3 linked regions of the Arabidopsis thaliana genome follow. The protein of the gene in region 3 purifies or fractionates together with the protein of the main gene of each other region. This does not show direct contact. Each region holds a gene or a part of one and is shown on either strand. Other genes may lie near its edges.

Evidence for each region.
Region 1: the proteins of AT3G02710 (region 3) and AL4 fractionate together in Arabidopsis thaliana (co-fractionation; one large-scale study listed by BioGRID). This does not show direct contact.
Region 2: the proteins of AT3G02710 (region 3) and AT5G10010 fractionate together in Arabidopsis thaliana (co-fractionation; one large-scale study listed by BioGRID). This does not show direct contact.

The regions. Positions count from the first base shown.
Region 1 is NC_003076.8:9,158,315-9,162,067, forward strand, and holds AL4 (alfin-like 4), read right to left. Parts: upstream 2,180-3,753; 5' UTR 1,908-2,179; coding exon 1,811-1,907; intron 1,719-1,810; coding exon 1,686-1,718; intron 1,123-1,685; coding exon 894-1,122; intron 743-893; coding exon 610-742; intron 528-609; coding exon 252-527; 3' UTR 4-251; downstream 1-3. UniProt on the Arabidopsis thaliana protein: Histone-binding component that specifically recognizes H3 tails trimethylated on 'Lys-4' (H3K4me3), which mark transcription start sites of virtually all active genes.
Region 2 is NC_003076.8:3,125,744-3,129,496, forward strand, and holds the start of AT5G10010 (myosin-H heavy protein), read left to right. Parts: upstream 1-2,084; 5' UTR 2,085-2,354; coding exon 2,355-2,795; intron 2,796-3,236; coding exon 3,237-3,275; intron 3,276-3,365; coding exon 3,366-3,419; intron 3,420-3,509; coding exon 3,510-3,573; intron 3,574-3,753. Other genes in the region: AT5G09995 (uncharacterized protein), read right to left, coding at 94-144, 245-559; FD4 (ferredoxin 4), read left to right, coding at 966-1,412. UniProt on the Arabidopsis thaliana protein: Essential protein required for basal thermotolerance, especially during heat-induced chromocentre decondensation, thus regulating transcriptional gene silencing (TGS).
Region 3 is NC_003074.8:581,230-584,982, reverse strand, and holds the start of AT3G02710 (ARM repeat superfamily protein), read right to left. Parts: upstream 1,871-3,753; 5' UTR 1,800-1,870; coding exon 723-1,799; intron 545-722; coding exon 460-544; intron 358-459; coding exon 261-357; intron 112-260; coding exon 48-111; intron 1-47. Other genes in the region: AT3G02700 (NC domain-containing protein-like protein), read left to right, coding at 2,170-2,263, 2,592-3,256; AT3G02690 (nodulin MtN21 /EamA-like transporter family protein), read right to left, coding at 3,535-3,637, 3,731-3,753.

The sequences.
Region 1 (3,753 bases), on a different chromosome or scaffold from region 3:
TTGTGTTAAGACTAACCAAAATACTTTTGATTGAGTTTGAAGAATGTTAATAAACAAACATAAAACAGAGCAAAAGATCATTACCCCTAAACAAAGAGTTATCCCTTCAATCGCCAAAATGTAACAATGAAAAAACTAAAATGTCTTCCTAAATTACCAAATCCATATGACAAATCTGATCTAAACCAAACAGTTAAGCTGTTCATCATCATATGCAAAGGTAGATACACAGAAGCGAGCGGTCAACAAATTTAGGAACGAGCCCTTTTGTTGCTGCAAGAAGGGCACTTGTATTGCTTGATGTGCTCAGCTCTTGCTGGTGTTATCTTAACACACTTTCCATGAAACCACATCTCACAGAGGTCACAGCAAATCCAGAACTCATCAGCTGCATAGCTCTCACCACATGCTCCACACTGTGTTTCACCTTGCTCATCCTCATCCTCCTCTTCCACACCTTCCTCTTCCTCCTCCTCATCATCTTTCGGCTCCGGCTTTGAGAACTTGGCACGGGATTCAGATCCTCGCTGTAACGTGAGACAAAGAAACCAGAATTAGTACAAGGATTAAACTGTAGAGAAGAAGTACAGTGGAAAACAAAGTCTCTACCTTGGAGCTTGATTTGGATCTGTTGCTGCTGTTGTTGGAAACAGAGGACTTATCTTTTCCTTGTTTCTTAGCAGTGCCAGCTACAACCTCAAAGATTGTTGGGAGGTCATTCACCATATTGAAAAGCCTCTTCCTGTAACAAATGTGAAAGAACATAAATCACAGAGAGCTACATAAACGGTGAAGGAGTAGAACAATGAGTGACTGAGAGGCTTGCATCTATATACCACCAAGGAACATAGATGTAAGAAGATTAGACTTAAAGAGGAGAAGGATATACATACCTATCAGCTTTGTCAAATCCAAACCTGGCTCCAAAAAAGAAAGCAACAGCAAGAAGCCAAGCATCACTGTGGACAGCAACAAGGGACAACCAATCCTTTTCCGCCATCCCGTCTCTGGCAAAATTGATACCCAAGACAGGCTCTGGGAGCTCAGGAGGAACCTCTTCAGCTGGCAAATTCACTTCCCAGTGCTCATTTGGATGTCCGTAAAGGCAAAGGTTCTCCTTTTCTATAATCACAAAAGGAAAATGATGACAATTGTTCAAAAAACCTTAAATTAAAACCAAGTCAAACAAAAAATCAACACTTTGACTCCGCTCAAACTCTACACTGCAATTCAAATAAATCTGACAAAATCACAATTTTATCCACAAAACAGAGACAATAGAATCTATGAACCCTAAATGCTTCACTGAAACAACAACAATCAGATTGAAACAAACCACAACGAAGCAAATTCAAAAAACCAAACTTTCGCCGGCGAGAATCAATCTCGAAGGAACAACAACACTCACAAGGATCACAAACAAATTTTTTCTTTAGTTGAAAACACAATCGAACCAAGTCAAACAAAAATCAATACTTTCGACACTGGAGCGCAATTCAAATAAATCTAAACAAAATCATAAACAGAAAAGAGAGAGAGAGAGAGACTATGAACCCTAAATGCTTCACTGAAACAACAACACTCAGATTAAAACAGAGCAAAACATAGAAAAATTCAAAAAACACAAATAAAAATCAAAACTTTCGTTAATTCAAATCAAATCTCAAAGGAACAACAACACTCACCGGGATCACAAAGTCGGAAAAACTCCTGAACATCTGCACACACAAAAGGGTAATCTCAAAATTCAGTTTTTTTCCGGTGACAAAACTGAGATAGTAATAAGAAGAAAGAAAAAACAAATTGTTACCAGTGGTTAAAGCCTTAATCATGCCAGCTCTACGACCCTTAAAATCCCTAAACACCTCTTCAACAGTGCGTGGATTGTACGCGCCACCTGCTTCCATCTTTCTTACAGAACAAACAGCTTCGAAGGAGACAAGACAAGAGTGAAAGAGAGAGAGAGAGAGAGACAAGTATTTGACCGGCGCTGAGAGAATTTGGGTTTGCGAGAGAAAGAAAGATGTGAAAGAGAAAAAGGGCGGACCCAAAAACAATTAAGCGGATTTAATAAGATGAGGAGGAGTCCGCAAAATGAATCTGATGAGGAGGAGAGCACGATAAGTTTTATCTTTCATCCTCTTAGATCTTGACGCGTATCTCCTGATTTCTGTTGTTGTATCTATGGATATGTTTTTAATTGGATTGGCTTATTTTTCGGGTAATAGATGTTTATCAAGCTTGAAATTAAGAGTTTTGTGTTAATGATACATTAAATTGTAATGGTTGTAAGATTGCAGAAAGTTTTATTAGATACTCTGTTTTTTCGAAACAAATGTTCGGTAATCTGGTATCTGCGAAATAAATTTGACCGTTTTTCTGTTTTTCGCGGTAAATGTTCGGTAATCTGGTAACTCAGAAATAAATTTGACCGTTTTCTATATTTTCATTCGCGCTCTTTTTGAACATGGTAAGGGATACATACTTTATTTTAGATTAGTGAGAGGTTTCGGTAAGTGTTTATCAAATATTCAGTTTTTCGCTTTAAATTTCGGTAATCTGATATTTAAGAAATAAGTTTGACTTTGTTCTACATTTTTTGGTTTCGTTTTGTCTTTCGCGCCAATTTTTGGTATTCTGGTATCTGAGAAATAAGTTTGACTGTTAATTTTATTTCTTCACTCGAGGTCTAGTCTTTTTTTTAAAAGAGTAATAATAGTCTGGTTTTGATTAATGAGAGCTTTTAAATAGTCTTACTAGTTACTAGATACCTTTTTCGCACCAAATTTTTGGTGATCTGGTGTTTGATAAATAAGTTCAATCTCTTCTCTTTTTCAAGGTCTTTTTGATTTTTTAATAAGTACTATGCATTATTAATATTTTGGAAAAAAGTTTATTCAAAATACTTGGTTCTTTCGTGTCAATCATCCAAATATATCGATAACCCATATACAATTTGATAGATCGAACTATACACTAGGAATAAAATTGTAGTTTCATGGATTTCATGAATTTATGAATCATATCTAATTCCAATATAGTAAGATTTTGAAGTAGTGTTATCTATAAAATCATGATTCAGTCCTCAATTTTGATATTTTATGTGGATAGAAAATCTTAACTTGTAGGTAATTTGGTGAGAGTGAGACTGATAAAAGAGAATAAGAACTATGTTTTACTGAACAAAGTACTTAAAGCAATGAATATATTTTTGTTTTCTAAATTGAATTGAAGAGACACGGAGAGAGTAGTAATGTTGATAGATTCAAATGTCAAACACCTCCTCTAGAATCCTTAATCTTTGTATGAGGTACACTTCAAGATCTTCAAGAATTCTTTTGATTTTTTTTCTAAATCAAATGCAACGTTAAATTTGACTCTAGAAAATGGGCTTGAAGTCTCCAAGCTAAACTCATTACATGTCACACAGACACGCAAGATAGTGATCTGATGGCTTTATTTGCCCAAACTGGATACAAAATCCCAATACCATCAATAAGTTCTGTAATAATGCAAGCAAGACGATAAGCGCATTGAACTATATTGCATTCAAAGATTGTGATATGCATCAGATGTCATTGAATATTTCTCAATTTGATCTTTTGATAAAGATCCCATGAAATCATTGACGGTTGCATAAAAATTCTTAATGTTTTCGCTAGTTATTATTACATTCACAATTAACAAAATTCAAAATTTATATAAATCGGCTCATCTTCCACTTTTCCAATTACTCATATGTATATGATTTTT
Region 2 (3,753 bases), on a different chromosome or scaffold from region 3:
TTTCTCAACATTCCAAAGTAAAACTCAAATCAACCTTCAAAATCCATCAAAGGGTTGAAGAAATCTGTAAAAGCAAAATGTTGGAGAACGAACCAGAAGAGTAGGAATCGCAGCAAAGAAGAGCCACGATGCTGAAATTGCTGTCTGCAACAGAACCCATGATGATGATTGTTTACAAAGTGACATAAAGTCCAGATCTTTATTGAGCAATTTGAATCAAAACCTAAATCCAAGAGAGGCTTACCACGCAAGCGACGACATTGAGCAAGACGAAGTGCTTCTGTGTGAATGTCCATTGAGAGAGTTGGAGAGGAGGCTGTCCCACGGACGATGTTAATTGGGAAGAGATCGATGGCTCCTGAGGATTCGAGTACAATGCAGAGGGAGTAGAAGATGCGATTGAGTCTGAACCCTTGGTCAATCGTGAAATCGGTGAAGCTAGCCGGAGAGTGACCCGTCGGCGAAAGGAGAGATTTTTATCGATGAATCCGTTATGGAGAATCGGATTCCAAGAGATTAGAGATTGGGGTGATTGCAATTTCGAAGGCGAGAATAACATTGTGAATGGTTTTAGCTCTATTCGTCAGAAACCATTGTTAAGCTTCGAGTCGACGATAACAATGGATTTCAGTTGTGTCAGCGAGAAAATTTGCGTCAAGTTTAGAAACAACAATATTTCACGAAAAGTCCTCTGTTTATGCGTTAACTATTGAAAATAACCCCATTACTATCATTTGAGTTAATTTGACCTTCTTTGCGTCATATGCAAAATCGGAACACCACCACATTGGTTTGGAGGTTTGTGAGCTACAAGCCTATAAACTACACGTAGCACCTCCCTATGCACGTGTCACATGAATGATTTTAAGGGTTTGGGCTGATGTTTGAGCTATAACTACATATATACATTTGGTTTGATTCGTTTTTCTTACATTATAGTTTCATCAAAAGCCAAAGCATAATTGATGGATCAAGTACTCTACTCCTCTTACATCATAAAAATCCCTGTAATATCACGAATATCACCATCACAAGCTCAACTTACGACCAGGCTCAATAACACGACTTATTTTGGCTTGTCATCGTCGAGAGGCAATTTTGGGAAGGTGTTTGCAAAAGAGTCTCGTAAAGTGAAACTGATTAGTCCGGAAGGTGAGGAGCAAGAGATAGAAGGAAACGAAGATTGTTGCATACTTGAGTCTGCGGAGAACGCGGGACTTGAACTGCCATACTCGTGTAGGTCAGGGACTTGTGGGACATGTTGTGGAAAGTTGGTGTCAGGGAAAGTGGATCAGTCACTAGGGTCCTTTCTTGAGGAAGAGCAGATTCAAAAAGGTTACATCCTCACGTGTATCGCACTTCCACTAGAAGATTGTGTTGTTTACACTCACAAACAATCCGATCTTATATGAGTTACACATGCCTGCCTTGAACTTTTGAAATCTCAGTATTAAAATATGTATTTCAGTATTTGATGTGTTTTGATGTATTTTTATGTATTGATATCATTTTACATACGTTGATTCAAAATATTTAAATCGGATTCCACTTACAAAATCAGACTAGTAATGTATATGTGCTTCGATCATCTTTGTTCAGTAGTTGAGGCTTTTATCCCCATCATGGGTCTGTAATTGGTATCAAATATACTATATAGGCCCATTAAGGATTCGTAAGATATGGGAAATAACGTTGGGCTTTATTTCGTCACCATGGGTTTAGTTGTTGTTGTTGAGTTGTCTTTTTCGCATCTGGACGGATATTGTCCGTATGAATTTCTTAGACTATAAAGATTAAATGTAATTTCAAATTATTATTTGATATACTTAATTCAATTTTATAAATTTAATATCTTCAAAAAAGTTTGTGTCCACAATATAACAAATGTTATCAAAGCAAAAAAAAAAAAAAAAACTTCTTCTAATATAACAAATTTCCCTAAATAGCTTGCAAATTATCTGTAAACATGATGAAAATATTAAACATGATGAAAAATATTAAATTATCATATTATTCAAAAAATAATTAATTAGCCAAAAGCTATATATGAATTTTGGGCCTTACAATAATATTTTCGCAAACGGCGCCTAAATAATTTGGGGGAAAAAATCAAAAACCCTATTTCCTTTTCATGAAGAGCGCTCGTTGAAATCACGCAATAAGTAGAACACATTTGGACAAAAAGAAAAGATAAAATAAAATAAAAAACAAAACCCCCAAATTTGTGTCTCCTCCGGAAAAAAAATTCGAAATTCCGGATCCACCGCCATCAATCCCTAGCTTTCTCTCTCTTTCTCTATCTTCGCCGGCGAAACCAGTAGGGTTGCTCAATTCGTTGGTAGAGTACTGTGGCAATGAAGAAAGGAGCGAAGAGAAAGGGTGTTTCGAAAGCAGGTCGCAAAGCTGCTGTTGCGGAGACTCAGAACGATGAGGTGATAGAGGAGACGACGAAGACGACGCAGGAGGAGAGTCAACAGCATGAGGAAGAAGTCGTCGACGAGGTGAAGGAGAATGGGGAAGAAGAGGAGGCTAAGGGAGATCAAGAGGAAGAAGAGGATGCGAAACCTGATTCCTTAGAGGAGGATGAGGAGAATCAGGAAGATGAGGTCAAAGCTGAGGAAGTAAAGGAAGAAGTTGAGAAGAAACCTGTTGCTCGTCGTGGTGGTAAACGAAAGAGGGCTACGAAGAAGGATACTGAGATTAAAGATGAGAAGAAACCTGTTCCGAAAGCTAAGAAACCGAGAGCGGCCAAAGTTAAGGAAGAGCCTGTCTACTTCGAGGAGAAGCGTAGTCTGGTATGCTTTTGTTAACCTTAGCTTGAGATATTATGTAATTATAATTAGGATTCAGCACTTATGCAATATGGGGTTAGTTATGCTAATTTGATGACTCGAAATTCTCTGTGAAAACAACAATGAGATACGTTTTTGGACCTGTATGTTCATCTTATAGCTTAACTTATAATGTGGATCTGTTTAGTGTTCTTGGTTGCAAGAACGATACACAAGATATAACTTTGTTGGTGGCTTTATCTATGAGAGCAATTGTGCGCCATTATACTTATTGTGTCAGATATAGTATGTCATTCCAAATGAGTGGTGTGGTGTTATCTCATTATCAAAAATATCTTCAATACTTCAGTATTTTTAAGTTCTAATAAAAGAGGTTGTTTTTCTGGTCTTATTTCTTCTGTGTATGTTGCAAATTAACATGTGCGCTTGTTTTGTGTGTTTCAGGAGGATTTGTGGAAGGTTGCATTTCCAGTGGGAACTGAGGTATATTGTTTTTGTGGAATTTGGCTTCAACATCAGAGCTACTGTTTCCATTGATAGTCCTTGCTTATGTTTGTTACATTGTGATGGCAGTGGGATCAATTAGATGCACTTTATGAATTCAATTGGGATTTCCAAAATCTTGAAGTAAGTTGTTTGGATTACGTTCTCTATTGTTTAGTTGACATGTTTTCCGGGGTGGACGAGAGTCTGATATTTTCTTCATTTGTATGTCAGGAAGCATTGGAGGAAGGAGGAAAGCTCTATGGGAAGAAGGTTTATGTCTTTGGCTGTACAGAACGTAAGCTACTTCTCTCGCTTTTTTTAATCTTGCTTTGATTATAGGTAGTTTACTGTCTTCTTATCGTTTGACTTGTCTAAATAATCCTCGGCTCTTGTGGTTCTTTCTAATTTACTTCAAAAATCTATGCTCTCTTCCTTTTCTTGAACATTTGCTTCTTGTTCTTGTCTAAGTTTTTCT
Region 3 (3,753 bases):
CTCAGAATGAAAACATCAAAATATGAAAATGATAAAAGTGAAATTACCTCAAGGTCATCAAGCTCAAGCTGGTCTAACCTTTCCGCCTCTGATCTAACCCTATCAGAGTATCTGCCAAGTGCAAAACAATAATGAGAGAGGAAACACAACTTTGAGGTAACTGCATTTTACCATCGCGTTCACCATATAGAAGCCTTAGCTTTTTAATCAAAATGCTTAAAATGGTAGACTACTGAAGAGAAAGAGAACATTTCTATTACCTCAAATATAATTCCATGAGCCGGTCAATCTTCTCAAATTCATTCTCCACGAATTTACTCAACAATCGATCTCTCCTAGAACCCCTTAATATCCCAGCTGAAAGATACAGCCAACAAACAAGAAAACCAAGAAATTAACATCAAGAACATGCAAAGAAAACACGTCACTTTTACTGAAACATATGACTTGCCTTCTTACCAAATAATGACGCAATCAGGGAAATAACCCGCTCCTCTAGCTCCTCCTTATACCGCTCCCTTTTGATTCTCTTGTTTAGCGGAATCTAAACATTCAAAGAACTAAACAAAATCAATAGACAAGAATGCCTCAGAATCGCCTCTTTCACATGACTTTGATCTACTACGCAAGCATTTACTAACAAAAGATACAGACTTCAATACCCAATAAGTCACTAGACAGTTCATAAAGATGGTAAAAAGAAACGGGATTGAAAAACTTGCCTTACCCATGAAAGCAGCAAATGCTGTTTTCAGTCCCATAACATCCACAAACCTCTCACATGCTGGTGGATAATTGGTCATGGCGAAGTCTAGAGCTCGAATAGCAGACCCGTAAGCATATTTCTTCTGTTTCATGATAATAATCATCAGCTCTACACCTTCCGCATTCACAAACCTCTCCTTGTTCTCCAATGGCATCAAGAGGCAACACAAACAATCAAACAGATTCTCTAACATCTCTTCCTCATCAGGAGTTTTAGGATCCTTTGACTTATACATCGCCACACCTTCAAGCACAGCGTCTACACCATTCATCTGACCTAGCCGTTTCTGATTCGCCGTACTGTTTTGCAGCAGAATTGCAAGAATCTCAGACGCGTACTGCTTGATTCCTTCGAATTCCCTCACCTTAATCTTCGTCAGAAGCCACCGCAATAGCTTCGTCCTTTCACACACCAATTGAGCAACAGCCGGCTTTACTTCCACCAAATTCTCAATCACCGTCAAAGTTGCGTATATAGCCGTAGCTTCGTCAGGGTCAGCCTCAGACAAACGATTCATATTCTGAACCAAGAGCTCGAGCACATTGTTTTCAACCAAGGCGTCGACTAACACACGCGCAGGCTCATCGTTATCCTCTAAGGCATCTTCGTCAGTCAGATCCTGAAGAAGCTGAACAACATCGTTGGCGATATCGGAGTTTTCATGAGAGAGGAGATTGACAATCGAAGGAACCGTATTGGAAGCAACAAGGTCCGGGTAAAGTTCCGGAGCTCCAGCGAGCACCTTGAGCTTCTGAAGATCGTCGTGTAGGTCAACCTCTGAGTCAGCGAACTTTTCTGGATTCTCCACATACTTGAGACGAGCAGCTATGTTGTCTCTAAGACGCCGCTCGAAGGAGAGGACAAGCTTTTTTAGGGTTTTAAGATCAAGCGCTTCTACTCCATTATGCGAAGACTTCTCAAGTGCTTCAAGGAGAGAAAGATCTACACCATCTGAGCCTCGATACGCCGTCGGCTGCGAGCCATGTCCGGCGTCGATTGCTTTCCGTTTTCTGGTCTGATTTGAGACTTCCATGGCTATACTCTCTCTTTCCGTCTGAAACTAAGATTTTTGGTTTAAGGGATGAAATAATGGTGACGACTGACGAGTCTGAATTTTAATTTGGGCTTTTTATTAAATGAAGAGTCAATGTCATTTGAGGCCCAATGGTGTAACGGTGTCGTTTAAGATTTAAGCAATTAGAATTTAAATTTCTAATAAACTATATTTTTTCTGGGGTCAAAAACTCAAAAGTCAAAAGATCAATGTCTTTATGGAACTTTAAAAAAGTTATGATGTTATCCAAGGAAGATGGAAAACCCTACACACTAAGCAAAAAATAAGATCTTTCTCTCTCTGACGACGCAATCCCTAATTTCTGGTTCTCCGTTCGTCGGCGGAGAAGATGGGATTCCTTTCCAATAAAATCTCCAGAGACGATGTGAAACCAGGCGATCACATCTATTCATGGCGTCAAGCCTACATTTACGCTCATCACGGTTCGATCTCACTCTTATCTCTCTCTTTGTAATTCCCTTTTTACAGAGAGATACATACATTGTACATTCATGATGATACGAGATGATTCAATTTCCAATTTTAGCTGTCTCAATTTGATTATTTGTGCAACTGGTTAGATTTTGCGAAAATTTCAAATTTGGGGGAAATAATGTGATTCTTTCGTTTGGATCCAAATTAGTAGAAGGTTTAGGAAAATGTGATTTTAACAGCTATTCTCTGTTACTAGGCTAGATTGTAATCCTTGAATTTATCTTTTCTTTGTTATGTAATCTATCACGTTAACTTGTATGTGTGTGTGATTTGCAGGAATCTATGTAGGTAATGGACAAGTCAACCATTTTACTCGTGGTGATGGTCAAGAGACTGGAACTGGGACTTTCTTGGACAACATCATTGTTAGTTCATCTCATAATCATGGAGACAACCCATGTCCTGATTGTGGAGATCGATCCAATCTTGGCGGTGTTATATCTTCCTGCCTTGAATGTTTCCTTGCCGGAGGTGATCTCTATGTCTTTGAGTACAGTGTTTCCCCTGCTATCTTTCTTGCCAAACCTCGAGGCGGCGTATGCACTATAGCATCTTCAGATCCTCCAGAAGAAGTCATCTATCGAGCAAATTTTCTCTTGCAAAATGGTTTTGGTGTGTACAATGTCTTCAAGAACAACTGTGAAGATTTTGCCATCTATTGCAAAACGGGTTTGCTAGTGGCAAACACCGACGTGGGAAGGAGTGGTCAAGCTGCTTCAATTGTTGCAGCTGCCAGTGTTCTTCTTTCTTCACCACTCAGGTTTGTAGCAGGTTTTGGTGGTTTGGCTGTGGCTGGCTATGGCATGTACTGCACCAGTCGCTTAGTTTCAGATATAGGCATGCGATGGGATGTGAGCAAGGTGCCTGTTGAGAGACTAGTTGCTGATGTGGCTTGTATGTCGGACATGGAAGCTAAACCAGAAGATGAGAAGACTACTTAATCCAAAACTGCTCACACCTGTATTACCATACTGGTTGATCTCTGATTGTAAATGTTGTGGCGGAAGTAAGAGAATCTGCTTCTGCTGTATCGTGTTGTGCAACATTTGTTTATGTAATTACGAAACTTGGCTTTTGATTAACACTGAACTATGATGCTTCATTTTATTATATACAATAAGATTGAAGATAATGAAACTATGATACATTTCCACCTTCATAACAAGTTTAAAAATGACGTAAGAACTCAAAGAGTGTAAGTAAGAACTCAAAGAGTGTCTCAGTCGTTGCCTTCGGGAAAGTTCACCAAGTATATAGCGACCAAAGTCACTGCTGCTCCGACCAGTTGCAATGAGGAGAAAGTCTCATTGAGGTACAGATACCTGGTCAAACCAATAATATCAGAACTATGAACCAAATGACTAAAGAAACTCTATTAAAATCATGGATTTATGGGTTGCTGATTATGGTCTTACCCAAAGATTGATGCAAACATTGG